Alligator mississippiensis: one gene and its partners. The protein of the gene in region 3 purifies or fractionates together with the protein of the main gene of each other region. This does not show direct contact. Links are inferred from orthologs where the notes say so. Each region holds a gene or a part of one and is shown on either strand. Other genes may lie near its edges.

Region 1 (7,508 bases), on a different chromosome or scaffold from region 3:
ATGCCTGTACCCCGGTTGCCTGCCCCACAACTTGCAGCTCTCCCACCTGTCCCCCTCTAACCTGCCCCCCACAACCTACTTCTCCCCACGGTGCCTGCACCCCTGAGCACCTGCCCCTCTACTTATTCCCCCCCCACTTTGCAGCACTAACTCCCACTGGGGCCCGGTCTAGCTGCGGGCATGGAGCACACGCTGACTCTGGCCCCACACAACAGCTGTTGCAGCTGCAGCAGCTTCAGCCCTAGAGCTAGAGCAAGAGCTGCTACAGCTGCATAGCCAGGATGGAGCTCTGTGCTGTGCTACCTGCTGTTAACAGGAGCAGACCCCAGCAGAAGCTGGAGATGCCCGAGGAAGGTAAGCAGCGGGAAGCAAAGGCATGGCAGTGTGGGGAGCAGAGGCTGCAGGGGACAGGGCAAAAATAAATAAACAAATGAATAAATAAATACATAAATAAAATCTAAATTTATTCCTGCTTGTGTTTGGCCTTTAAGAAAATATCAGAGCAAAATATGTTCTTTCTGATGCAATGCTGTGTTATAGCATCACATGTATTATATCCTTTTGCTGGGACATAAGGAGGATTTTTTTTAAAGTTTAGGAGTTTTGCTAAATATTATTTTTCCTTCTTTTGTTTTTTTAAGCAGCCTTTGGAATAATTTAAAAGAAAAACAATTATGCATTAAAACAGAAAGGCAAAACTTTTTAGTATCTTAAATCAAGCAACAGTATAGTTGGAAGAACTCTTGGATAAGCTTTCTGGTATCAAGTGTCCTTCCTCGGGTCCCTAAATTCACTTGAGGAAGGACACTTGATGCCCAAAAGCTTGTCCAACATCTTTCCCAGCTACAAAGTTGGTTTAATAAAAGGTATCACTTGCCTCTCGTTCATTTCCTGGACCATCATGGGAACACTCCAACTCAAAACAGAAACGTGTTTAAATTTCTGTCACTGGGAATTTAGATTTACTGGAAGGTCAGGAAAAAGTTGAGTAGCATGTAATGGAAGCACGCTGAGAAAAGGTAAAATAAGCTACATAAAGGGAAAATGAAAGGGAGAAGGGTACCTAGAAGAAGCCAATCAATTTCCCCATTAGTTTCCTTCTGCAACAATTTAGGACAAGGGAAGAGAGAATGGCAAGGACCACAGAAGCTTGCAAAGGGAATGGTGAAGCAAGCTTTAAACAGGCTTGGTGATGTGAATGGCACTTTTGAAAACTAGGCTAGTTAAACAAGACCCTACTCTTAGACTCCTAATTTTTAACATACTGTAAAGCAATGTGAGGAAAATTAATTAAGCAGATATATAGTTATACAATTAGTTAAGGCTTTAATTGATTAGGGAGGAAAGAGCAATACTGACATTTAATTAAAAAGCAAGTCATATCACAAGCATTAATTATGAAAACAATGTATTTAGTGCTGAGCATTAATTACACTGGCAGTCATGTAGATGGTAGCCAAAGAAGGGGAAGACATGGGCACCCAAAAGAGGCAAAGTGTATCAGAGAATAGTCAGCTGATGGCAGCCACAAAGCATTCAAAATGTTTTAAAGGAGCCCCCTGCTCAGACCTACTCCAAGAGCCATGGTAAGAAGTGCTAGCTAGAGAGATAATGTGGTATTCAAATGCTAAAAACAGGCAACTGATTCTCCCCACAGAACACAAGATCTTTTCCCTTGGGACAATTAGGAATAATTGGTGTTATTTGCCCTTCCAGCTGTGTTACAGCAGGGATCTGGTGTGGTTTAGGGATGTCCCTGACTCCTGTCCCCTCCAGGAGCAGAGGGAGACCCTGGGGCATGCCTCCCTGGAGAGCGCCAGGCTTTTTGATACGTCATTTGGGATAGCAGGCCAAAGCCCACTGAGTAGAGCTATAAGCACCCCTTGGTGATAGCGGCTACTAAAGGCGTAATGCTCGCTAATTCCTCGGGAAAAATAAAAACAAAACAGGGATTGGCACGTGGGTCATATGTTCATGAGGGGGAACACGGAGCAAAGCACACCAGACAGTGCCCAGAGCGTGCCAGGCTGCAGCTCCTTCGCTGCCTGCTGCTGAGGTTCTGGCTGCACCTTTTCATCTACCCACTCCCCACCTGCGACGCCACCAAATCCCGGGACCTCAGAGTCAACCTCCTCTTGGTGCCAGCCTAGCTCATGGTCTGTCTGCCCAAGAAAGAGACGGGCTGAGAGGGCCCTTGGGACCTGTGAGGCCGCTTCCCTGTCCCTGGTCTGCTCCCTTGACTCATTCGAGAGCTAGAGGGTGATGCTGTCCCATGTGTCCTGCTCGGTGTCCCCCCTTGGTGCGCTCCTTTTGAACCCATGCCTCTCACTCCTGTCCCTGTTGCTTGATTTTAACTTGTTTTAATCAGTGATGGGCCCGAGAGCACGGTGCCCTCATCACGAGGGGCTGGCAGGACGGCCGGCCGGCCGGCCTGAGGATGCTGCGCCCCTTGCCTGCAGCACACCTCCCCCGGGCACCGCGCCACAACTCTCACCCGCCACAAAGCGGTGCCCCCGCCATGACAGCTCGCGTCCGGCTCGAAACCAAGAGCCAGGCGGCTACAAGGGCCCAACGATGCCGCCCGAAGGTGTGGCGGGGGCCTCAGGGAGGCCTGTCCCCGCCTGTTTGGCTGGGGCCGGCCCGGGGCGAGGAGCCCGTGTCCCTCGAGGGAGGGGAGCGCAGGGTGAGCCGCTGCGCCGCTCCCCTGTTCCGGGGCCCCGCAGCGCTCGCCCCGCCCTGGCAGCCGAAGCGGGGCCAGGCCGCGTCCGCAGGTTTGGGGGGGGAGGGGGGTCACCTCGGCAGCGCGGGGCCGGGGCCGGGGCCAGGCCCGGCGCAGGTCGCGGAAGTCCGGGCCGTAGATGGACTCGAGCGCCTGTAGCTCGTTGTCCTGGCGTAGCTGGTAGGTCTCCGGCGGCTCCGCGCCCGCCCGGGCCATGTCAGCGGCGGCAGGGGGCAGCCATGGCCGGGCTCCGCCGAGCGCCGGCGGCGGCCGCGGTTGAAGCAGCGCTTCCTGCCTGGGCAGCCGCCAGGCCCCGCGGGACGCTGCCGCCGCCGCTGCTGCCCCCCGCGGCCGCGGGCGGACCTGTCGCCGCTCCGCCGCTGCTGGGGCGGCCTCGGAAGAGCCTCTTCGCCCGCCCGGTGCTCCGCTAAGTACCGGGCACCCCTTGCTCGCGCCCTGCCCGGCGCCGAGCACACGGGAAGGAGCGGACTGCCTCTGCCGCCGCTCGCTTGAATTCCTCCTTGAAGGGAGATCTTTTCAGTCTTGCCAGCCTCATCCCAGCAGGCTAGGACCCAGGTAGAGTCCAACTGTCAGCAAGAGGTAAATGCAGTGATTCCTGACATGGCCTCTTCGAATCGCCCGCGGAGTCACCCGTATCTTGCTGCGCTCCTCAGAGGTAAAGGGCAGGGAACGAGCCTAGACCACCAGTGGGGGAAATGGTGCTTTGAACAAGACCAATGCATTTCCCAAGGACTTCTGTCTGAGATTTACTTAACAGATTTGAGATATCTTCGAAGTGATGGGTTACAGTTTTTACAAATCCCACAGAATTATAATTCTCTTTTTTAGACTAAAAGTAAAATAAAAAGTAAAATAATTTAGCACTATCGGCCCTAGAGGGATTTGGCTGCCTCCACTATCTTCATCCATTCCCATCTGTTTTGTGCCTTCATCTCCAGTCATGCACATTTCGTGTCCATAGACAGTACATCATCTTTGTCTTGGTTGTCCATGTGGCTTTGTCCCCTCTGACAGCCAAGGGGCGCTTTGTTTGGTGTCCAGATTGCTTCCATTCTTTCTATGTGGACCAGCCACTGTAGTCACTGTGCTGTAGTTTTTGGAGTGGGTAGACATAGTAAATAACAACTTAACTAGAAACAAAGGACTTGGAAGGACCTCCCAAGCTGTCAAATCCAGTCCCCCCCCCCCCCCCCCCCCCCCCCAATTTGCAGTGGACTGATTTCCCAAAGGGATCCATAAGAACATTCACTCTGGTCCCTTGTACATACCACAGCCACAAAGCATCTGATTAAATAAGCCAGAAAATTTCTTCCCCTCCAATCTGCAATGCTAGTTAGTCCGTTGTCATTAATTATTTACCCAGAGGCCCCATCAAAATAAGGATCCTGTTACACTAGATATTGCCTGAACATCTATGAAGACATGATCCCAGTCCCAAGAAGTTTACTACAAATATTTTTATGCAATGGATAATTAACCTTTGAAACTTATTGTCATAAAACAGCCTTGAGGTTAAGACCTTAGTAGGTGTCAAAAAAGGACTAGATCAGTGGTGTTCCTGCTCCGGTGAGGTGGGCAGTGCTCAGTCTACCAGCAGGCTGGATCTGGTTGGTGGGCTCCATCTGGTGCACAGGGCAGTGAGGCAGGGCCCAATTGGGCTCTGAAGGAGAAGGGGGCATGGCTTGTCCCAGATCCAGCTGTGTGGGGCATAGCCTGGCCCCAGTCAGGCTGCATGGCTTGATATAAAATGTATCATTGTATGGGACATGGCTTGACCCTGATCCAGTCTATGGGGTTTAGGAATTTGGCAGTACAAGCAGAGATGCGGGGCAGAAAAATTTCCAGGGCTTTATTTTTTCATGGACAATTTTCCAAAAAAAAAAATTTGAAAAATTATTATTCTCTGCCCTTGGTTCCTGTAAAAAATGACATGAACCAAGGGCAGTAGGACCCAGGGGAAGCCCAGTGGACTCCAACAACAGCAGGACCTGCCTGGCCCCTTCCGCCAGCCGGAAGCCACAGCCAAGGTTTCTGGGCTGGGAGCATGTGGCTGCCCCAGCTCAGGAAGCTCAGGGAAGGAGCGTGGTGGGAAAGTGCTGCAGCTGCTTGCAGACTGCGTGGCGTGCCTGTGCCCACTCTGGACAGTCCTATGCAGGCTGCGAGCGCCTGCAGCGTGGGGCACCAGGCATGGGGCGGAGGAGGGGCTGCTTCTCCCCCCCCCCCCACTCAGCTTTTCCCTGGGCTCTTTCCCTGCGCAGAGAAAAGTGGCCCCTCGTCTGCCCACACTGCAGCCGCTCACAGTCCACCTGGGGCTGCTTGTGCCTGCTCCAGACAGCCCCACGTGGGCTGTGAGCGCCTGCAGCATGGGGTGCCAGCCATGGGGCAGGTGAGGGGCCACTTTTCCCCATGATCAGCACCAGCTTCTTCCCTGTCGGTGAGCAGGGGGTCAGGACTGTGTGCTGCCCCCCGCCTGTACCGCGGGGCTGGGGGGCACTGGGTATGAGTGGGTGGGGAGCCAGTGGGAGCACGGGCCCGCACCGGTGTCCTGGGGCCAGTGCCGGTAGGACCCAGAGCAGGGCAGCAGGAGCGTGGGGTCCCAGCTGGCAGGGGCTTTATGGAGCCAGGCCAGCTTCCCCCTCCCTGCTGGTGCGGCCCAGCCTGGCTCCACTGACCCCTGCCAGCCTGTGCCCCACTCTGGGCCCCACCGGTGCTGGCCCTGGGACATTGGTCCCAAGACATTGGGATGTTGGTCCCAAGATGGTGACCAGAGGGTGGGGCACCTGTCAAGGGGCAGGGCTACCCATGCGGCCCTCAACAGCCTGCCAAAACTGGATAAGTGGCCCTCCTCTCAAAATAATTGCCCACCCCTGGGCTAATGCATAAAATATTCCTTAACACAGCAAAACTAATTTAAATTCAGTAGAAATCACAATCTTTTCAGAAGAAATTGTTAAATTTATTGAGCAAGACTCATTTAAAACTTGGCAAACACCTATTAATATTGCTGTCACATACATGTCACATCCATTTCTGTCATTACATACTTTTTCCTGTCCTAAAAGTTTCCTCACAGACCTGCGGAAGCATGTGAGAACGAACACACACACATTCTCAGATCTTTCCAACCAAAGTTGCTGTAAGGCTCACTGTTGGTTACTAGATAGGTGCCTTCTTATCCCTTCTGTATGTGGATAAGAAAAATATTGGTAATAGTGGTTTACAGAGAATAGACAGATATGTAAACATTTGCCTCACTTTCTCTTTATAGTCTGTGAAATATGTTTATTTACTGAAATACATACAGAAATGATAAACAATTGGATACTGACTTTCTTAGGCCCATTAAAGAACACAAATTAGTTGACTGTAAAAGCAATTTACCTGAAAACTTAGGTGGCGTGTGTGTGTGTGTGTGTGTGTGTGTGTGTGTGTGTGTGTAATATATATGTATATATGACAGTAGAAGTTCACTGCAATTCTGTTACAGACATAGAACATGTGTAAGTACTGTGCACATTTTGAATCAATTCATTTGCTGATTTTGCTTGTGTGGCATACATAGAATAGCATGTATTAATACAAGATGCAACATATATACGGGGTGGATCTGGGGGCGTTCAGTATGGATGCAGTCCCCCCTCCCCCTCCCCTGCTTTCAGTTGATGCTGCAAGAGCAGCATCAGAACTTTTTTTAAGTCCCCAAAACAAGTAAGGATTCTCCATCTCCTTTCCCCCCTGCTCAGTGACACCTTCCCTCCCCTTCCCCCTTTACCACCCACTTCTGATGCTGTCCCCATCTGCCCTGGGTTTAAATTGGCTCCAAAGCTACTCCTGCTCTACTCTATCTGGGCTCTGCAGGGAGCCAGGATCAGCTGGAGACATGAGTGGATCTAGGGTTTTGAAAAGGGGGATGCTGATGGTGTGGTACATCACCACAGATAACTTAATACATATTTTTCTCCAAGTAAAAAGAAACCAGAAGCTTTGCTAACATGCTAGGGGTTTAGGGCTATATTATTCAGTTGAAGATCAAAGCAAAAACAAATCTAACCTAAACGGATATACATGAATTTGTTATACATTTTATATTTAAAAAACAGAACAAACTAGGCAAAATAATAAAATTGTTTCTTTAGTCCTGTAGTCATTAGAATTAAATGTACATCTCCTTCAGATTCATAAAATCAAGACTTCTTGAATATCTTGACAGCGCATCCAATACTTCACTAAAAGTTATTTCTACCCTTGAGTTAAAGTTTTTATCTAGGGTTAAAAACAGTCTACTAGGTTGTGAAATAGGAACTACATTACCAGAAGCCACTAGCTTCCAGACAGCAGAATTGAAAAAGAAAGGCTAGCTTGATTAGTGAACACCAAGATCATTAAAAAGGAAATAGGGTCATTAACACCTGTGGAATAAAGAGTTTAGAAGGGATGGGGTAGATTATAATAAACCATGAAGTCTAGTGACTCCTTCACTGCTGCCTGAATAAAAATGTTGCTGCCACTGCTAGGCAGTTTGTTTATACTTTGGGTAGGCCAGGAATCCAGGTGGGAGGGGTATGACTGTACCACTGTACCCCCTTGACGTCCCCCCTGGATCTGCCCAGGGACAGTGGCAGTGAGAATATGCAGGCTTCTCCCTGCCTGGTTTTCTGTGTTCCTTGCCAGCTTGTGAGCAGGCTCAGGAGAGGAAGCTCTCTTGCTGCTGCTGTGGCTGTCCCAGGCTGAGCCCAGCTCTCAGCCTGGCTGGGGTTAGGCAGAAGTA
Region 2 (7,191 bases), on a different chromosome or scaffold from region 3:
GACATGCTTGAAGGGAGAGAGAGGCTGCAAACAGATTTAGACAGACTACAGAAGTGGGCAGACGAGACTAGGATGGGGTTCAGCATAGACAAATGCAGGGTGCTGCACCTTGGGAGAAGGAATCCACAGCATACATACAGGCTGGGGAGTTCCCTTCTTGAAAGCACAGAGGCAGAAAGGGATCTTGGGAATCATTATCGAGTCCAAGATCAACATGAGCCACCAATGCCAGACGGCAGCCAGGAAAGCCAGCCATACTTTGTCATGCATCCAAAGGTGGTCATGCATCTCAAGCCGGTCCAGAGAGGTGATACTCCCCTTCTATGCGACTTTGGTCAGGCCGCAGTTAAAGTACTGCATCCAGTACCGGGTGCCACACTTCAAAAAGGGATGTGGCCAGCCTGGAGAGGGTTCAGAAGAGGGCCACCCGCTCAGTGAGAGGGCAGCAGGACAGGCCCTATGAGGAGAGACTGGAGGACCTGAACCTGTTCAGCCTCAGCAAGAGGAGGCTGAGGGGGGACCTGGTGGCTGCCTACAAACTCTTCTTTTCTCCCCAGCACCACCTGGGGTAACAAGGAACAATGGTAATAAGCTGATGGAGAACAGGTTTAGGTTAGAGATCAGAAGGCAATATTTTACAGTTAAGGTGGCCAAACTCTGGAACCAACTTCCCAGGGAAGTGGTCCTTGCCCCTACCTTGGGCAAATTCAAGAGGAGGTTGGATGATCACCTGTCTGGGGTCTTGTGAACCCAGCATTCATTCCTGCCTGTGGCAGGGAGTCAGGCTGGATGATCTGTTCAGGTCCCTCCTGACCCTAGCTACTATGAAACAAATCTGAAAACTTTGCATGACCTAAACATGCTTGACTGACTTCTGATTACTGATGACACACTGTTCTGTCCCAGCCAGGTTCTTAAGCAACCCTGGATCTGTTAAATGATTGCTTTGCCCTGCTGAGCATGGATATTTCATAAGTAGAGGTCTACCTAAATCACAGGGGAGCTTACCAGTTTTTGCAAGTTGATCACAGTATAAAGTTGTAATTCCATGGTCATTTCACAAAAAGCCCTGCCCCTCAGCACTGACTGGAGAGGCTGTGTTGGGGGGGGGGGGGGGGGGGAATGACACAAGGTGGCAAACCCCTCTTGCCTGCTGCCCTTCATGTCACTCCACCAGCTGGCACCTTCCCCTCCCAGCAGCAAGGACCACTGGCTCCCGCTGGGGAGCCAGTATTTTATTTTTAAGGGGCTCTTTCCATTAAATTTTGCAGATTTTGTGGACAATCTGTGAAACCACAAATTAAGTAGGTCTGTAATGAGGTGTCCCAATGAAGGACAATAACCAAATCTTTTAAACAACCTGCTTAAATAACACAAATGGCTCTCCCCAGTCTGTAGCAGAGACCCTCCACAGAAGCCTTTACAGGCTAGTTGTGTGAGGCTTTGCAAGGAAATGGCTGTTGTTCTAGCTTGGTGACTCTCAGCCTTGTCAGTGTAAGGCCTGTGGCCAGCCATGCCCATTTTCAAGGGACCCAGACCCAGCTGCAGAAGTGTGGCTAAGCAGAAAACCCCACAGCCTGTTTCTAAGTGATCGTAGTGTAAACCTTTGTAAATGTGACAACTAGCTTGGTCAGCAAAGGAAACCATCCACAGGTGCCAGCAGACATAGAGGGACACTGCTTCAACATACTGCAATTACAGTGCGTTGGAGCAGACTCAATCCAGTCTGCTGGTGTGCACTAATTAGTGTGCTCCAACAGCCTCCACATCTTATGTATTCAGAGTCCCTGTGCTTCAAAATGGCAGTGGGGACATTTACTAATGCTTATCCAGTGAGCTTTAGTTGAAGCACCCCCACCCTGATTTTGAAGCACAGGACACTGAATACATGAGTCACAGCAGGTGACTTAATTAGAGCAGCTCTCAGAGCTCAAGGCCTAAAAGACCATGTTAATTAATCCAATACATAATATCATAGCTTTATCTTAAAATATTAGCAGTAACAACTGATGTGCTCAAATCCATTAGATGTCATGTTGCTATATGTTTGTTAAAATGCTTAAATAATTTGTAGAAACAAAACAGCCTTGCCAGAAAAGGCCATAAACTAAGGTAAAAACAAACAAAAACAGGCCCATGTTAAACAACACTGGACAACAACAAAAAGAAAGGAGAAACCCCGCTTCCTTTTACTTCCTCAGGGATATAAACCTCGGGTATTAACACCTTCCAAGTCCACAAAAAATCTGGTTTGTTCCTGCTCCAAAAGTTCCAGTAAAGCAAAAAAAGATAAATAAAATCAATCAAACCCCATTTAATAAAATATTAAAGCCAGCACCTGCAAATGCTAGGGTACTTAGCAAATTCAAGAGGACCTGGTGCCACCCTTGGAGCCTCCCAGCCCAGGACCCCGACACTGAACTCCAAGGTTGGTTTGTTTTCTAGCTCAAGCTGTGGCTGCAGACCCGCTATTGACTGTTATCAGCAGCCGCCCCACGCACGATGCCACCTGGGTCCCAGTCCCAGCGCAGGGCTTTGCGGGGCAGCGGAGCAGGGGGCTACAGCACAGGCCTGGCGAGCGCGGCCGCCGCGGGCAGGGCAGCGGTTCGGACCGGGGCTGGATGCCGGGGAGACGCCCGTGCCCACCTGCGCCTGGATGTAGAGGGAGACGCAGGCCCGCGAGAGGCGGCGCGGCTCCAGCAGCCGCGTGCACTTGAGCAGGTGCTCCTCGCCCGCCGACAGCTCCTCAGTCTCCGTGTGGTTCACGCCCAGCTCGTACTCGAGCGCGGCCAGGCGCACAGCCCGCAGCGCCGCCGCCGCCCCCGCCTCAGCCTCGGCCGCCTCTTCTGGGCCCAGCAGCTGCTTAATCTCCTGCAGCAGCTGGCGGGCGCCGTACTTGGAGCGGTAGGGCTCGGTCTCCGGGTCCTTCTTGGACTCCACGGCCGACAGGCTCTGCGCGCTGCGGAACTTCTCGCACAGCGCGGCCCATGCGCCGCCCGCCGCCATCTTACAGCTCTCAATGCCCCGGGCAGCTGCCGCGCAGCGCCCCGACCCGACCCGCCCCCGGCCGGCCGGCCGGCCAATCGGCGCAGGGGCGGGGGCTGCCAGTGACCAATCGGCGCGCGGGGCGGCCTTGCAGTCAGTGTTATGGTGCCCGACAGGGACCAGCTGCCACTAGCCCCGCAACTCTGCCTTAGCTGCTACGTCACGGCCCCACTGGGTCGCGGCAGCAAAGTGGGGGAAGGTGCAGTGTGTGCCAGAGCCAGTGCGCGCAGAGCTCCGCAGGTGCAGGGCGGGCTCCGCTCGCAGCCTCGCCTGGGGGCGTCTCACGCACCAGGGGCGGAACGCAGGTATCGAAGGGGAAAGACTAGCGAAGACCTTTTCTCTGGGGCGTATACACAAGCGGTGACATCCTGCCCTCATGTGCCACAAAGCTGTAGGCCCCCCTGCACATCCCTTGTTGTCACTGTTTCTTCAGAAACAGCGTGACAGGTCCGAATGGCCCCCACGGCAAAATCCAGCCCTGACTAAGGCTGCTGCTAGTGTTACATACATTAAACAATTAGCTGGTCAGTGGGTGTGCAAATGCTGTGAGGTGGATTTACTCTAGAGTAAATCCACGTTGGGCAGGCATCTACACATGCAAAGATTTGGGAGCAGAATCACTGCTCTGGGCAGCAGTCTGCCCCCACCCCCTCCAGCCCTGCAACAGCTCTAGGCTCCTGCTGGCTGCTAGCCCAGGGGCTGGCAGGGAGCACAGGGCCAGGAGATGGGTACCTCCTGACAGGGATTGGGAGCCCGCTCCCTGCCCCTGGGAGCTGCCTGTTGCCTGGGGCTCCTGTGCCGGAGCCAAGGAGGCTGGGACCTGCCGCTCCCTTACAGTTCTTTCCAAGCCCTGTGCCCTTCATCTCCCACTTGGGGCAGGGCGCTGGGAAGAACCTGCAGGGCTGGGACCTGCCCCTGACTGGAACAGTTCCCAGCCAGCCCCAGGCTGCACAGGGAAGTCTGCAGGTGGAGCCCAGAGCTGACAGGGGACTGCCTGAAAACAGGACAGCCGAGTGAGGGCTGGGAGTTCCCTGTTGCCAGGGTAGGGGGACATTGTCCCTGCCTCAGCTCTGGCAGTGGAGCCCACCATGGCAGCAGGCAGGTCCTAGGGGCAGGGAGCAATCTCCCACCTCCTGCTGCCCAGCTGACCAGGAGCAAATTACCTAGGTCTACACACGCCATACTGTGCAGTAATTACACGACAGTTAATTTGCTACTTGCATTTAAAGGTAGCAAATTAACTGCGAAGTAAGAGGAAATTACTGCGCAGTAAGGGTCAGCACATGTAGATGGTGATGCTTACTATGCAATTATTAGCTCTATTGCACAGTAAAATGTCTCTTGTAGATGCACCCAGTCATTGCATACATCAGGGGCTGTCAACAGGAGTACGCATGCCCCTGGGGGTACTTAGGAAGGTCCCTGGGGAGTACATGGCAGCAGCTCGAAGAAGGTACCTGGGAAGTGTATCATTGCTGTCAGAGAAGGGGCAGTATTTGGGAAGTGCACCATCGCACGCTGCCCAAGTACCCCCCCACTTTGCATCTGTCCCGCTGTCAGAATCCCCCCCCCAGCTCATCCAGGGAGTACAGTGTCCAGGAGGGGTACCCACCAGAAGAGGTACACTCCTTTAAAAAGGGTGAAACCCCCTATATAATGCAAAATGAGTCAGTTGCACAACAATGTAGACAAGCCACAGTGCAAAGTCATTACCATCCAATAAAAATGACTGTCTAGCTTTAAAAAGAGCCAACCAACTCTATAGTGCTTGAAAATGTATAACAACTCCATAGCTGGTTTCTCACCAGCTTTTATTTGAAGGTATAGCAGAACCCTAAGGAAATGGGAAGGCTAGGGTTTCTCTTAAGAGCATAATTTAAAATGCCTTAGCCTCTGCATTCAAACTAGCAATGAGAAAATGGGGCTACTACTGATGAAAACCTGCACTACAGTTTCATAGTTGGTAGGATCGAAAGGGACCTGAACAGATCATCAAGTCCGACCCCCTGCCATGGGCAGGAAAGAATGCTGGGGTCAAATGACCCCAGCTAGGTGCTTATCTAGCCTCCTTTTGAAGACCCCCTGGTAGGAGCAAGCACCACTTTCCTTGGAAGTTGGTTCCAGATCCTAGCTGCCCTGTGAAGTAGTGCTTCCTGAATCTACTCTCCATCAACTTATGGCCGTTACTCCTTGTTACTCCTGGTAGTGCTTAGGAGAACAGGGACTCTCCCATTGCCTGCTGGTCCCCCTTGGCAAGTTTATAGATGGCCACCAGATCCTCTCTCAGCCTTCTCTTGTAGAGGCTGAACAGGTTCAGGTCCCATAGCCTCTCCTCATAGGGCCTGCCCTGCTGCCCCCTGATCATGAGTGGCCCTCCTCTGGATCCTCTCCATGCTGTCCACATCCCTCCTGAAGTACAGCGCCCAGAACTGGACGCAGTACTCCAACTGCAGCCTGACCAGTGTTGCATAGAGGGGTGGATCACTTCCTTGGACCTGCTTAAGATGCATCTATGGATGCATGACAAGGCGTGGCTAGCCTTACTGACCGCGTCCACACACTGGCGGCCCATGTTCATCTTGGAATCAGTAGCGACTCCAAGATCATTTTCTGCCTCTGTGCTGACGAGAAGGGAGTTCCCCAGCCTGTAGGTATGCTGCTGGTTCTTCCTTGTCAGTATTGAAACCCATCCTATTCTCATCCGCCCACCCCTGGAACTTGTCCAGATCTAGTTGTAGCCTGTCCCTCTTCTAGTGTGCCCACTTCTCCCCACATCTTAGTGTCATCCACAAATCTGAACAAGGTGCTTTTCACCCCCTCGTCTAAGTCACTGATGAAGATGTTGAACAGTGTGGGCCTGAGGACCGAGCCCTGGGGGACTCCACTGTTCACATCCCTCCAGATCGAAAATGACCCATCCACCACCACTCTCTGGGTGCAGCCCTCCAGCCAATTTGTGACCCACCTGTGTAGGCATCGACACCACAGTTGCCTAATTTTTTTATGAGAATGGGGTGAGAGACAGCGTTGAAGGCCTTCCTAAAGTCCAGGAAGACTACGTCCACTGTGACACCTGCATCCAAGGATTTTGTGACCTGGTCATAGACGGCAATCTGGTCTGACAGGACTTGCCTCTAATGAATCTATGTTGGTAAGCATAATCTCCCCTGCTGGTCCCTCGCAGATGTGCTCCTGGATAATTTTCACAAACAGCTTTCCCAGGACCAAGGTAAGACTAATGGGCCTATAGTTTCCTGGGTCATCCTTCCTTCCTTTTTTGAAAATGGGGACCACATCGGCCCTTTTCCAGTCTCTGGCACCTCACCAGAGCACCACGAGTGCTCGTAAAGCTGTGCCAGGAATCTCGTGATGAACTCTGCCAATTTCCTCAGCACCCTGGTGTGGAGATCATCTGGATCTGCTGACTTGAACACATCCAGTCCCACCAGACACTCCCTGGCCAGGTCCTCATTGACCCTGGGCCTGGCTGCGCCTCCCCTAGGTCCATCCGGGATCCCAGTGCAGGGTGGGGGGATGTCCTGGTTCCTGCTCAGAAAAACAGAGGGAAAGAATTTGTTAAAGAGGTTAGATTTCTCATCTGGTGTGACCACCAGATTTCCAAATGTGTCCTGCAGAGGCCCCATGTTACCCGGTACCTTCTTTTTACTCCCTATGTATTTAAAAAAGGACTTGTTATCTTTGATCCTGGTCACTAGTCCCAGTTCTGACTCTGCCTTAGCCTTCCTAACAGCCCCCTCTACAATCTTGACCAATGGAGATATAATCCTTCTTGGTGATGGCCCCTCCCTTCAATTGGGTGTATGCCTCTTTAGCTCCGAGACATTCCTGGATGCCTTTGGTGAGCCATTGGGGCTTTTGAGCACTCTTGCCTCCTTTGATCCACTTCGGGACTGTTAACCATTTGGCCTTGGAGGATCGTCTCCTTAAGGAATGACCACTCTTCTTGGACTCCCAACTCCCCACCCCTTCCTGACCCCAGTGCCTCCCTGGCTAATATCCTTATTGAAATCAGCCCTCCTGAAGTCCAGGGCTGCTGCCTTGCTGTAGGCCTTTGACACCCTGCACTGGATGGTGAATTCCAGTAGGCAATGATCACTATTGCCCAGGTGGTTGAGAACCCAGAAT
Region 3 (7,006 bases):
TTCAAAAATACAAGCTGAATGTTAGACAAAGTACGTTTCTGTTTTTGTCAATCTTGTATATTTTGAATGTGCAAATATAATCTGATCCAAGATTACGCAGGCATCATAGAAAACTGCATAACTAAATTCAACTAGTGTTACAATCTAGATTTTCATAAAAAAGCTATCATGACAAAAGCTGGGGTTTGTTTCTTGAGACAGAAATAACAGCTACATTATTGGCAAATATTATTTTTAAAATAGTAGGTTACTCCCAGTTTTCATCTTCCACTTAGTCGTTTTACTGTGCTTTAACAATTAAAGTAAATGTGTCCTAGTTATGTTACTCTAGTCTTACGCTATTTGTCTGAGACCTAAAGTGTATCATAAATACCAAAAACAATGTTTTATGGCCCAGCACTTTGATGTGAAGAGTGCCATGAAGTTTCTTCACCAACTTTAGGTTTAATTAGCTGTTAAAGAAAGATGTTTAGCTTCAAACTACCCCATTCATATCTTTAAAGTTTATTAACAGATTTATCTAGAATCACTACCGATTGCCTACAAGAATGCATGAGTATGTTGTCTGGGATCAAACATGTGAAATGTCTTGTTACTAAACAGAGTGCTTTGTAGCATTCACGGTGATGGACTATGACATTTAGTTAAGGGAGAACCCACTCTGAAGGCACACACATCTAAGGAAATCCAATTTTGGGGTGTACCATAGTGTGTACACCCAAATGAAAACTAGCAGTTGCGTGAAAGTTCAGTCATGCTACCAAAACTATAGTTATAATTGGAGGAGGAATTTGCTCTGAGAACAAAGATTGTTTTTGAAGAGGAAGTGGGGAAGGATGTGATAAAAACAAATTAAGAAATAGCCACTGAAAGAAACAGAGTATAAAGAGTATTTACATCAACTTTTAAAAAAGTTGAACTTAAAGTATAAAAAAAAAGTTTGTCAACTACAAAGCAATGCCCATGCTCCTCTCTAAATTTATGGGGAGGGGGGGACAATCAAAACTATAGACACAGTGTATTTTGCAAAACACAATTTACCTTGTAAATCTACATAATTTGCTGGTTGGGCCTTTGGGGAGGTCGGAGTGTGAAGGTTGCTCTCTCAAAACGGTCTGTAAGAGCTTGCTAACAAGACCCTTCAATATAAGCACTTGCTGGAGCTTGTTTGAGCCCAATAACCTCCTGCCTGTGGCAAGGGACCGGACTTGAGGATCTTACAGGTCCCATCCCGATTCTAAAAAAAAAAAAAATCAGTTTTTTTCCTTGCATTTAAAACAAATGCTACTTGACCAAATTCAAAAAGAGGTCTTTTGGTTCTCCATTTGTAAAAAACATAATAAATACAAACAAGAATCCCATGTTATTGAGGTTATGCACGGAACAGCAATCAAGCCATGACAAGTAATTGCTGTGTAGCTTATAACACAAGTGGGTGTTAATATGCAATATACTAAACAACCATCAAGAGGGGCCTGCACCTCATCTTATACGAGGTCCCTTCCAGCCCGAACGTCTAGGAAGTCTATAACACTAGTTGATGTGAGAACTGCCATTAATATTTATAAGCATTCATATTTCTGTTCATACTTGGAGACAGTAACAACAAGGCTATTCAAGACATCCAAGGAACATTTGGACACTGATCTTGGTGGGATCCTTTGACCCATGAGGCAGGAAGTCAGCTGGGGGTCAAGAAATATTTGGACATTTACCTTGCTGGGATCCTTTGACCCCCAGCTGACTTCCTGGCCCTGGGGTCAAGAAATATTTGGACGCTGATCTTGCTGGGATCCTTTGACCCCCCCCCAGCCAGCTTCCTACCGCTGGGGGTCAAGAAACATTTGGACGCTGATCTTGCTGGGATCCTTTGACCCCCCCCAGCCAGCTTCCTACCGCTGGGGGGTCAAGAAACATTTGGACATTTACCTTGCTGGGATCCTTTGACCCCTAGCTAACTTGCTGGCCCTGGGGTCAAGAAACATTTGGACGCTGATCTTGCTGGGATCCTGTGACCCCGACCGACTTCCTGCCCCGGGACAGAGGGCTGGACCCAGCAATATTACGAGGTCCCTTCCAGCCCCACCGTCCACGAAAATACTATTTCGAGCCTTAGCAAAGAGTCGAGGGTTACCCGAAACAACTCTAGTTACGACCGCTGGAACGGCAGGAATACAGGGTTCAAGTTCGGCGGCTCTATTGAGGCATCTTGTTAGCGAGCTCGCGGAGAGAGCAACCTTCCCGTGGACAGCCCAGCCAGCGACGAGACGCGTTACTAGTTCAATACGACTGGCTTTTCCAAGACGCCCACCACCACGGACGTTTCGGGCGAGGAAAACGCGGCCAAACACGAACGATAATCAAGACTCGCGCGCAAAACAACTTCTGAACGACTTGCTGCCCTTTCCCGGGTCCGTTTGGGGCTCAGTCAAGAGTCAGAGACCTACTGCAGCCCCCCAGCACTGGCACGGAGGAGGGGGGAAGACCCCCAAGACGGATGTATTTCTTATTCTTTGTCCCTACAGCACCCCCACCCCGCTTTTGCATCACGCAGGTCGTTTATTTCCAGAGAAATGCTGCAAAGCAGCAAGAGAGGGCAGCCCGGGGGGCAGGTTTCTCCCACCTGGCTCCAAACCCTCGGGGACTTTTGGCAGCGCAAGGGGGGGGGAAGGGGGAAGTTAAACCCCGGCGGGCCGGGCGGCGGGACACGCGGCTCCTTCCCCGCACGCGCAGTGCCGTGCCGTGCCGTGCCGTGCCACACGAGCCCCGAGCTGCGGCAGGGGCCCAGCGGCGCGCCTCACACCCCAATATTTGGGTCCCCTGAGGGTGGGGGAGGGGGCAGGAACGCGCGCGGGAACCACCCCCTTCCTCCTCCTCACCCTCCAGCAGCCGTTGGATGATGCTGTCGATGTTGAGCTTGTCGATATCTGCCATGGCCCCCGAGCGTCCCCTGCTCGCCCCGCGCAGCGCCGGCGCCGAACAAAATGGCCGCCGTCTCCTCAGCTAGCTGTGGCGGCGCACGGATCCCAGGCGCAGCGCCGCCCGGCCGGGACGCCTTTATAGGCAGAGCGGCGGGAAGAGCGTCCGAAGCACCGGATCCTTCCGCCAGAGGGGCGGGGCGAGGGGCGGAGGGACTAGGGCCGCCCAGCAGTCGCCTCAGGGCGGGTGTAAGAGGCGGAGTGTGTCGGTTTTGCTCCGTTCCTTGCATCCTGCACTGGTGTGGGGTGACAACTGCGGCTTCGTGCAATAGCCCTCCCGGCTGGACACGCCTGGGAGTTGGAGCGGGTCAGTTTAGCGCGGGTTAAACTGAGCCATTAAGGAGGAAGTGGAGGAGGGTGGAAGGCCTGTCTCTCACAGTGGACCCCTGCTTCCAACAGCTGGATGTGCCCCTGGAGCAGCTCCCAGTGGACATTGCACGTCCTACCCCCTTCCTTCTCCAGCCCCCGGCCACCCAGGACCCCCACCCTGGGACAGGGGTGGGGGTGTATAGATTCACTGATACTATTTGACTCCACAGCCCCAACCTGGGCAGGGAAAAGCAGCCGGGGTTGGATGATGGCGCTTGTTGCGGGACTGGGGGGTTGGCGGTTGCATCTGTGAAATGGGTGTATCGACGGGACGGGCGCAGTCTGGAGCTGAGTTCGGTGATACAGCCCAGCCCCCGCCAGCCAGCAGGACTTGTCCAAGGGGAGAAACCACCTAAAAAAAATCAATTGTGAAACAGCAGGGGAGCGCGAAGCGGGGCCTAGTCGATTCGGATTCAGTCCGAATCGGGGGTCGGCGATTCGATTCTTTGACGCGTATTGCTTTCCCGGATTCGATTCATCCGAATCTGAAGATTCAATGCTGATTTGGAGAATCGGCGATTCGGACATAGACGCAGCTGATTCGATTTAGAGGAGATTCGACCCGATTCGGTGGCCGAATCTCAGAATCCGAATCGAATCGGAGAACCCTTTAATCTCTCCCAATCAAGGTGGGACCCTCCGAGTCAATTCGAACATACAGACAGCTTTAAATGTTTTTTCTAGGTGCCTCGAGGTAGCAGGCAGCTCGTGATCGCTGCGATGCTGGGGCGCGTGGAGTGTCCCACGGGAGTTGGGCCCCCACGTGCTCAACAGTGAACCCGGAAGTGGGCCAGAAGCCCCCCCGCATCCTCCCCGACTCGGCAATCGGCCATGGGAGGCCCCTGGGTGCACGCCGTGGGGGCGTGGGGGGGCCCCAGCACACTCCCCAGCAGGACCGGAAGTGAACCAGAAGCACTTCTGGTCCACTTCTGAGTGTGCTGGGGAGCCCCCCACGCTCCTGTAGGACGCCCCAGCATCACAGCGTTCACGAGCCACCTGCCACCTACACGTATGTAGAAAAAACATTTAAAGTTGTCTGTTTGAATCAATGCAGAGGGTCCCAATTGGATTCAGAGACATTAAAGAGTCCTCTGATTTGATTCGGATTCTGAGATTCGACTGCTGAATCGGGCCGAATTTCCTCTGAATTGAATTGGGAAACAAAGCTTTGCACAGCCCTACAAAACAGCTGCCCATGCCGACTCACTTAGAGTTCGTCGTGCTGGGGCTTGCCTTTCTTGGGGAAACTGTAGTGAAATCAAGTTGGGCTGGCACTTGAAATCCGGTCGTTATTCTGCATTCACTCCCTGCGCGGGGTAGTGGATTTGTGCACTTAGTGAACTGAGCTAAACCACATGCAAGCACTCCCCAGACAGAGCTATTCCACATGAGCCCTTCTGTGTGAACACTTTTATTTGAAGCTAAAAGAGCCTTTGTGCAGAATAGCCTCCATACTTTTAAATTCTCACCCTGGCTGATTTCACAGTAGCTTCCCTTGTGCAGACAAACCTTTATACATGTGAGTAACTTTATGCCCATGAACCTCATCGTGGAGCTGTCAGCATTTGCAGGATGCCTGCAAGGTGCTCAGAAATCCTCTGGAGACGACCACAGCAATCAACGTGCTCGTTTTTAGATAAGTTAGGTTTATTGCAGGGATTTCTTGTTTTATTCTGCATGCAGCAGCAACAAAATTGCAAGGCAGAGGCATACACAGTTAAAATCAGCCCAGAGATTGGAAAAAAAAAAATTACATTTGCAGGGAGTTGGCCTGTGCTGGCCTCTACTCTTGCTCACTTCTTTGCATCTCTGATTGAATATTGTTTAATTGGTTTATTTATTCTGAGTTTAATTTACAGGGATGACTGTGTCAGCTCAATTCCCGCCTCTCCTGCTCCTTTCTCTTGTGAATGCTGGATGCCTCACACTGACAGTTATATAATAATCATAACAGCTCATTATCTTGGTCAGGCTAGGGCAAAGTTCAGATTCACTGTGGTGATAAAGCAGGAGACGTGCCATCTCAGCACACCTTGGGCACTTGTACATGGTGTACAATAGGAAAGAAGCCAATAAGGAAAAAGCCTTTGCAGTAGTATAGATATGGACCATCTGTAGCACAGGCATTTGCCAATTATAAAATGCGACTTTATACTTTCCCAAGTGACTGCTTATGGTAATGAATGCACCTGAGCCAAATGCTAATCTCCATCCTACTGGTATCAATCCAAAGTAACCCCCTCAAAGAGAGTGAGGTTACTCCAGATTGATTTGTGTGACTCCATTCATAAGTTTACAGCTGTTTTCATGCTGCTCCTTCCCTTGGAACAGCTTCTTTATTCTTGCCTACTGTATGCCTTCCCTAACTGTCCCTGCTTTAATTCAGAGGGCCAAGTTTTGACATGCTAACTTGCCTTAACTCAACAGAGGTATGCCAGAAGAGGCCCTATACTTCCAGGGAATCCTTCCCATTTTGTCTTGCCAGTAATGTCTCTAGATCTTCTTGTAGTATTTCAGCATTTTCCATGGGCACGTATATTGTATCGGGTGCGCAGGTGTTCCTCTGGTCAGTTAAGTAGGTAATGAACAGTGACTAGAAGGTGTGTGTGTGTGTGTGTAAAAACCTGTACATATAAAACCTATATATATATATATATATATATTATATGACACATTTTTAACAACAAAACTTATAATTTTCTCTTGCTTCTCAGCTTTTTGGCTCAGGTCAAGTGCCTCAACCTCTTGTGGACTAAGATCAAATGGGGACATCTGAATCCCAGGATCTCTGGGCTTGGGCCTGCGCGTAGGATGCCTGCCCATGGATTTGAGAGTATCTGAAGTCCTGGGGTGAGAGTCAGGGATAGAGGATGCTTGCTGGCTGTAGCTCTGTACATGGTGTTTAGAATGATTGGGTTCTGCCTGCTCAATCTATATGGTTTTTGGAACTACTGAGTTCTGCTCAATTGATATAATTTGGAACTGATCTGGCTGATTTGACCTGGAACATGGACTATATTATTGTTGTTGTTAATAATAATAATAACAACAACAAATTATCATTTTGTCTCCCTTGGGGTTATCATTCAAGGTTTGAGCATCTTTTTTGAGGTTCTGAGTCCTTTTGACTTACGGATTTCCATAGGTAATGGCGGGGCTGAGCACTGTGCAGAAACAGTCTTTGAGGGCTCTGTCCTGCAATCATGGAAGTCAATGGGACCACTCACACATGTGAAAGTTGTTCGTGTGTGTTCAGGATTGGGCCTTTGTACTCTGAGTCAAACCATGTGCAGTGCAGAGCATCGTCAATTCCCTGTGGTCTTGGTGGAGGATAGGGAGCATCCTTTTCAGAATCAGACCCTTTTCTGCCAAGTCCTTTCTTACATTTACATTGCTACACGAACCTTGTTTTAATAACAATACATAATTCATATGGATCGAATGCATGCTGAACTACAGTTATTAAAAAGCCACTTTAAAATTAAATATTTTTAAATGAGCTAATTTTTCTTTGCAGAAAATGGCAACGTCCCCCAACAACAGTTTCACTGATGAAAAGAGGGATTCAGCCAAGGTATTTTAATGGCTTGAAATTATTATTTCCCCAATGTTGTTTAGAACAGTGATTTATTTCTAGAGGGGAAATAGCTGGGGGAAAT
Region 4 (7,361 bases), on a different chromosome or scaffold from region 3:
TGGTATCATAAACTTCTAAAATTTAGAATCCTATGACTTCTAAAATATGGGAGAAACTCCATACAACCTAAAGAAAGAGAGATTTCAAAGCAACTTAAAGTACTAATCACATAACATACCTAGAAGGACTTTTAACCAACTTCTGACACTAATATAACTTGAGGATTATCTTGTTCAAGACACCTCCTCCTCCAGTTTTGACAGTTTTGGGATCCCAACATAATTGCTCCCATATTTATTAAGGTTTTCTTCTTCCCTGTTACCTTTCTATAAGGGCCAAAGGAACCACAAGGGAAAACTAAGCAAATGGGACATAGTAATCCCAATAACAAAAAAGTGCTACCAAAAGCACAAAGCAGACTGGGGGGGGGGAAGGGTTAAGGTTAAAAAAAAAATTCAGACAAAAACATGATTTAGGTTAGCAATATCCCTTTAAGACAGACAGCATCTTCACAACATAGAAAGGCTTTTGAGAAGCCCGGAGCCAGTCTGCTCACTGCCTAAAGTCCACTGCAGTTGGAAACATGAAACAAACAGGACAGCAATACCGTTGCTGACACAATGGCTTACCTTCTTCAGCTCCCTCTTCCGGGCCTCCTTTCCTGCAGAAAGAAAGGAAACAGACAACTTGAAAAAAAACTCAGTCAAACCCAGCCAGCATAACATTTTTCTTTTGCAAGTACTTCAGTTCTGTTTCTCAACAGTTTGCTGATTTGAAAACCAGTTCTATCCACCCCTCTTTTCTCAGTCCTAGAAAAATATGCTTATTAAAAAAAATTTCAGACACACTATGAAAGATAGACAACAGCAGTCCCCAGACCACTAAAAGCAGAGATATTCACAGTCACTCACTCACTCAAAAATGGAAGCAGATGTTTAATTAGAACAATTGTTTAAATTTAGTTCTAACAAAACAACAAATACTCTGGAGATGGAAACAATCTGTGTGCTGAACAGGCAAAAAGGAATTCAATCAGGAATCTGACTTGATCCTTCAGTTACTTTTCATTCCCATCTGTCAAAGAAAATATCAAGCATTTTTCTAGATACTCACGGGCCTGGTCTGTGGGGTTCATGAACTTTCCACTCTTGGTGGAGGATGTAGATCTCCGCCCCATCTTGGCCTGTTTTTTCTCTTTTCACTGCCACCTCAAAAAATGGATGAGTAACCTGAAAACAAAGCCACAACATCAGATTCTATCTATCAGTAATGATAAGCATGCTCCTATTCTTCCTCTCTCCTTCACCAAACTAATAGCTGCTGTCAGTATCCATCACATCTTTAAATCCCAGCTCTTGTGAATGCACAGAATTCAACTGCATGCAAGCCCCAGGTATGGATGCACAAACAAATACTGTGAAGTAAGAAGTGTGAACTTACAATTGCACAAACAAATACTGTGAAGTAAGAAGTGTGAACTTACAATGCATCATTTTGTGATAACTGCCCACATGTATGATCTTACCACACAATAAATACAAAGTAGCTTCTGCTTACCAAAACATTTTTAGTGGGAAGTCATTTGGCACCAGGTAAGGGCGCACACATGGGCAGTTACTGCAAAGCAGCTGTGATGTGATCTGAAGGATATGTTGTGGGAATGTGCTTGCACCCATTCCCTCTGGCACATATACAAAGCAAGATAACTACACCATTTTATCAACAAGCGACTCCCACAACCCACACTAAGTACATTGTTTGTATTTACAGGCGAGTTTTGCACACTGCTGCTTCTGCTAAGCGCACTGCACTGACCAGTGCACTGCTCCTTGCTTTTTTTCCATTACTACCTGTTTCCTATGTACTTCCGTTTCACTCCAGGTGCTCCCCTTTCACACCAGGGGCTCTTGCACACTTCTTTTGCCCCAGTCCCACGCCCCTGAGGCTTTCTGCACAACTCCCATGCTAGGGGCTCTGCATACACCCCCATTCCCTTTTTCTCCAGACTGGCTCACTGCAGTCAGGTAAGAGACTCCTTTCCTCACCACCCCTCAATTTCTGTGCCCCCCTGTGTGCTCTGCTCTCCCACTAACATTTTCTCCCTTCTCTGAGGCTGGCTGTTTGTTCAGGGCTTCAAGCTTAAATTCGGCTGGCCTGGCAGACAGGAAACGTTATGCTGGAAAGTATTAACTGATGCCATCGATCTGTTCTTTAACCTTGAGACAACCACCGAGACATTTTCTCAGTGAGGGACCACCTCCACTAAGGAACCAACTCCCCCCTGAATTGATAACTAAGGGTCCCTGTGTCTCCACTTTCCTCCTCCTCGTTTTCACAAAAACCGGGAGCCCCTCTGACACAGGAATCCCTGCCAGACACCAAAGGCCATATTTGAGTGAAGCATCTCAAGCTGCTGCCTCGCATCCAAACGCACAAACACGCCAATGGAGATTAGCACCAAGCTGAACATAAGGCCTCAGAAGTTGGGTCAAAACCCTCCTATGAAAGGGTGGGGGGGCTCAACCTTCAGCCTGCAGAGCCTGGTTTGTCACCCGGCCCACGGGGCTGCCCACGGGCACCAAAATGTGGCAGCGGGGAAGCGGCGGCACCCGGATGTGCGGGGAGCCCGCGGAAGGGAGACCGCGGCCTGGCCTGCCAGGATGGGCCCTACAGGGGACCAATTCAGCCGCTCCCCAGATCCGCCGCAAGCCCGAGCAGCGACGCTGTCCCCTGGCTGCCGGGCCCGCTGCCTTCCCCGCCCACCCCGGGGCGCGCAAGGGTCCGCCAACCCCTGCCCCGCGCTCACGTCCCAGCTGAGGCAGGAACCGCTTCATTCGCTGGAGAAGCCGGAGCCCAACGGGCCGCCGAGAGCCCGGCACGGCGCAAGCCGGCTCCGCCGGGGCCCACGCGGGGGGAGGAGCTACGGCTCGGCAACACCCGCCCCCGCCCCGCGGCTCTCACCTTCGGCGGTCGGGCGGCAGCTCCTTCCTACCGCCGCGGGAGTCCCGGCACGCAAGGCCCCGCCGCCATTTCGCATGAACCACAGCCGCGCGCCACTTCCGCCCCGACCCGGAACCTCTTCCGGGCCCCGCCAGAAAGCGGCTGCGAGCCGGGGAGGAGGGAGGGCGCTTCCTGCCGGGGGTCTCCATGGTGACGGCGGGAGTGCAAAAAACAAAATAAAACAAAACAAACAAAAAAAAACCCAGGCCGAGCGCCCTTTGGGTGGAGTGAGTCACGTGGCGGGTCGGGGGCGGGAGCGGATTGTCTGGGTTGGGGTCGCGCGCGGTCTGCCTCGGAGTCAGGGCTTGGCCTGGGGGTGGACTTGGGTCCGTACAGCGCGCGCTCTTGCGCTGGTGTCACTCGTTTCGGGGCCCAGCTTGACCCGCACCTGGCGCAGCAAAGCCTCTTCCTGGAGCCAAACCACGGTGCCCGTCACCTGGGTCTGGGCTCTGCCAAGGGAAAGGGGTGTTTCTCCACGTTAGTCTCCCCTAGCGAGCAGGCAGGGCACTGGGGTGCACCTCTGTAGACTTGACTACATAAGACAGGGGCGGGCAATTATTTTGGGTGGAGTGCTGCTTACTGAGTTTTGGCAAGCCATCGAGGGCTGCTTGACAGGTAGTCAGGGGCAGGTAAATATTAATTTTTGAAATGTTTTAGCTGCCCTGCAGGCTGAATAGAATAGCCTGGCAGGCTGCATGTGGCCCATGGGCCGCATTTTGCCCACCCTTGGCATAAGATATGACTGAGCTCAGTCAAGGCCTACACTCAAGAGAAGGGCAGACAAAGCAGTCCAAGGACATCCTCAAGGCCCACTTGAAAAAATGCAGCATCTGCTCCTGGGGGACTATCACCCAGTGTGGCCCCCAAATGGAGGAAGAGTCAGTTGTGAGGATCTTGGTACTTTGAGACCTCACAACAACAGTGGGAAAAGTGGGAGCGGCAGAAACAACGTGCCGCAGACCAAATCAAGAACCCAGAGCTGCCCAGCCCACGTGGAAACATGCGCCCAAGTTGCAATCCTGAATTGGTCTTGTCAGGCGTCTTTGGACCACAGATAAGGCAGTGGTGGAAGACGATTACCCTTGACTATGAGGGTTTGCCTGTGACACAAGATACAGAGAGAGAGCACAAAAGAGCTGGGGTTGACTGCTTTTGACCGCATCACAGATTCACAGAAGTTTAGGGCTGGAAGGGACCTCATGAGATCATCGGGTCCAGCCTCCCTGCTCTGGGCAAGAAAGACCGCTGGGGTCAAATAATCCAGATGTTGTAAAAGGATGTCATAATAAAGCAGAGTGATTAGAATACAATAGGTGAGAAAGCGAAGGGGAGGGGAAATGCTGAAAGAACCCAAGGGAGTGAAAAGGTCACCATAGCTAACCCAGGTAATGGGATAAGAATCTGTAGTCTCTGTTTAAACCATACTTAACATGGTCCAGTTTGTGGCTGATTTCTTACTCTGCAATTTCATGTTTAAGCTGTAGTTTTAAAATGTTTCTAATTTTTTTATTAAGGGAAACCAGGAGGCAACTTGGATGTGGCCTACTTGGAAACAGCCAGCATATGCAAAGTGTATAGATGGGAGAAATGCGGATGCTGGCTGTTTCTCCTTATTCAAAATTGGTAGTTAAACAAGTGACTACAGCTTCAAGCAACTCTATGACTTGCGTTACCAAGTGAATCTAAAAGATTTCCACAAACTGTTATTGCGAACTGTTCTGTTAAAACCCAGTCTCTGCCTACTTAAAGCATAACAGACTAGGTCAGGGATGGCCAACCTGTGGCTTAAGTACTAAAAGTGGCACAGGCAAGCTGTATGTTTGCAATTGGGAGGGGACAGGCAACACAGTGGTGGATAGGATAAGGAGCGGAAAACATAGCAGCAGGTCAGTCAGGAAACGCGGGGCAAAAAGCAGGAAACGAGGAGCAGGCTGGGCAGAGGAAAGGGATCTGAATGTCTTGCAGAGAGGTAACAGGGCTGATTTGTGGCAAACCTCCTAAAAAGTTTGGCCCCCACTGCACTAAGTTATCCTTTCCATGCACTCCTTTATTTCAAAGACTCTCCACTGGAGCAAAGTATCCACTGATACACATGAAAGCATCTCTTTGAAGGCCACTGTAGAAATGCCTGGTCACTCTAATTTCATGCCAGACTTGGTTAATGAGCTCTTTATTACACTTAACAAATTCAGAATAAATGGGCTTGGTTGCCTCCATTACCTTAAAACCAGCTAAAATACAGAGATCCTCCTGTAAGCCTCTGTGAGGTCACTGCTACATCTCCTAGGTCAAGCAGAATTGCTGACCAGCCCCAGGCCTCTGTGAGGTCACTGCATTGTGCTCTGTGGGACTGGCTGATTGCCACAGCCTACAATATGAGTACTTCATAGAGATGAGCTCACTCTTCCCCCCGTTTCTACTTCATGAAAGATGTATCTTTCTTTTCCCAGCATCACCAAGAATCTGTAAAGGTGAATGAAAATTTTATCTTTTCATTCCCCCTCCCTCACCCCCACCCCCGCTTCCCCCCAGAAATGTATTTCTTTCCTTCTTAAGATGGACAAGCTGCCAGAAAAATCTGCTAGATGTTTTGGTCTGTAAGTCTTTCCAGTACTCTTCTGCTTAATGGGTGATTTGCCACACCTGCTGAGGTTTAGTCAACTGATAGACTACTAAGAGCTACAAAAGAAATTAAGCCTGGAAGTAGGAAGGAAAGGGAAAAGAGCACAAGTAAAGAGGGAAAACAAAGAAAGCAAATGAGGTTGGAAGGGAGACAAACATGAATAAGGGAATGAGAATAGAAGAGAGATAAAAAGGTGGAGAGCTGCTTCAAATTTTACACAGATACGATAGTTGTTACCGTACAAATCTGCTGTTGGGTCTTTTCTGAATAGTTTTATCACAGTATGTCTTGGTATAAAAAACTGAGCCTGTGTACAACTTTCATATAATGATCTGTACAGTTTATATGCAGGGTGCTTATATAAGTACTTATATAGGTGCTTATAAGTCCCTGTACAACTTTAAACATTAATGACTTTGGCTACTGAAAGCATAATTCATTATGTTTTTTAGCATAGTGTAAGTATTGTATAGGGTAAGGCTCATAAATGCCAATCATGAAATCACTCAGCTAGAAAATGTTTGCTATGAGTTGGAAAATCAGACTGAACGATGTATCACAAAAGATGGCAGTTATGTTGAAGTCTAGAAATTTGAGCTGTATTGTGTTAAAACTTAATGTATTATGCTTTCAGTCACCATTTACAGTTTGCTTCTATCAAGTATACATCCAAAGTTATTAAAGTTGCACAAGGACTTTATAAACAACCTGTATTGTTACTTATACATTGCATCCTTTCTTAGTACCAGTAAATAATGTGCATGATTTAGCTTTAGACTAATTTTTGAGACAAAGAACAAATGCCTATGAACTTAGTCAACCAAATAGAGAAAAGAGCTCTCAAAATTAATATGGTACAGGTTTAATATATTTTTAAAATTACAATTTTTATTTAAATAACAGCCAAAAAACCCCCAAAGTTCAGTGCGTCTCAGAGAAGGGGCATACAAATCAAACTCTTTGCTCTAACCTTTTGTTTCCAAACTAGGCACATTTAGATTTGTAGTATTTGTGTTGCGATGTTTTACAGGACAGGCTGTGGATATATTGAACAAACCCACTACAGTCCCATATCACTCATCCATTAATCACTTTAAAGAAAAGAAAATAGCATGTCCTTGTAGGCCAGTCGTCCTGCAAACACTTTTGCCTGGATGTAGATCCATTTAACCCAGAAGAACTGCATGTATGCACAATATTAATTGCACGTGTGTTTTCATGATTGGGCCCATAGCGTCTGGAATGCTGGAACCTTCTTTTAATCTCTTAACTGTAGGGTTTAAATTGTGTGCGCACATATTTTTCAAACCACAACTCTGTCAGGATTAGAGTTCATTTTAAGTAGGGCACTGGGTGGCTTCACAGATACAGATTCAAAACATTGACAGATGATCTTGAGAAAGGGAATCCTGTATATCAAGATTATGTCTAGTATGCACCAGAAAAAAGTTGCAATATCAGTAACCCTCCAAATGTGGATATTCTGGCAAAAAAAAAAGCCCACCTTCTTTGTCAGTGTATTTGCATCTCTACTCAGGCTTTTGCCAATAAATAAATAAACATTATAAAAATCACACACTTGACCATTATTATATCAACAAAAGTTTCTAGTATAGATCTGACCTTTATTCAGCTACTGGCATCTCTCCAGAACCTGGGAATTAGAGATAGGCTTGATGATGATTTTATTTTCTGCAGCCACTTGACCACTAGTTTACTAGATTAAGAATGAGCATTTTATTTCCCATAATCTCAGCAAACACCAGAAGCAGGTACTTTCATATACTACTTTTCTGA

The links.
Region 1: the proteins of PPP1CC (region 3) and EIF2AK4 purify together in Homo sapiens (affinity purification with mass spectrometry; 3 studies listed by BioGRID and IntAct, counting the BioPlex papers as one, with this or other methods). This does not show direct contact. The link is inferred for Alligator mississippiensis from reciprocal best matches to the Homo sapiens genes PPP1CC and EIF2AK4.
Region 2: the proteins of PPP1CC (region 3) and KIFBP purify together in Homo sapiens (affinity purification with mass spectrometry; 3 studies listed by BioGRID and IntAct, counting the BioPlex papers as one, with this or other methods). This does not show direct contact. The link is inferred for Alligator mississippiensis from reciprocal best matches to the Homo sapiens genes PPP1CC and KIFBP.
Region 4: the proteins of PPP1CC (region 3) and WBP11 purify together in Homo sapiens (affinity purification with mass spectrometry; 4 studies listed by BioGRID and IntAct, counting the BioPlex papers as one, with this or other methods). This does not show direct contact. The link is inferred for Alligator mississippiensis from reciprocal best matches to the Homo sapiens genes PPP1CC and WBP11.

The regions. Positions count from the first base shown.
Region 1 is NC_081825.1:242,153,963-242,161,470, forward strand, and holds the start of EIF2AK4 (eIF-2-alpha kinase GCN2), read right to left. Parts: upstream 3,005-7,508; 5' UTR 2,936-3,004; coding exon 2,795-2,935; intron 2,684-2,794; exon of another isoform or gene 2,549-2,683; intron 1-2,548. UniProt on the Homo sapiens protein: Metabolic-stress sensing protein kinase that phosphorylates the alpha subunit of eukaryotic translation initiation factor 2 (EIF2S1/eIF-2-alpha) in response to low amino acid availability.
Region 2 is NC_081829.1:55,373,320-55,380,510, reverse strand, and holds the start of KIFBP (KIF-binding protein), read right to left. Parts: upstream 3,022-7,191; 5' UTR 3,007-3,021; coding exon 2,647-3,006; intron 1-2,646. UniProt on the Homo sapiens protein: Activator of KIF1B plus-end-directed microtubule motor activity. Required for organization of axonal microtubules, and axonal outgrowth and maintenance during peripheral and central nervous system development.
Region 3 is NC_081833.1:3,270,191-3,277,196, forward strand, and holds the start of PPP1CC (serine/threonine-protein phosphatase PP1-gamma catalytic subunit), read right to left. Parts: upstream 3,023-7,006; 5' UTR 2,935-3,022; coding exon 2,880-2,934; intron 1-2,879. UniProt on the Homo sapiens protein: Protein phosphatase that associates with over 200 regulatory proteins to form highly specific holoenzymes which dephosphorylate hundreds of biological targets.
Region 4 is NC_081827.1:90,989,728-90,997,088, forward strand, and holds the start of WBP11 (WW domain-binding protein 11), read right to left. Parts: upstream 3,015-7,361; 5' UTR 2,903-3,014; intron 2,768-2,902; exon of another isoform or gene 2,748-2,767; intron 1,171-2,747; 5' UTR 1,119-1,170; coding exon 1,055-1,118; intron 603-1,054; coding exon 571-602; intron 1-570. UniProt on the Homo sapiens protein: Activates pre-mRNA splicing. May inhibit PP1 phosphatase activity.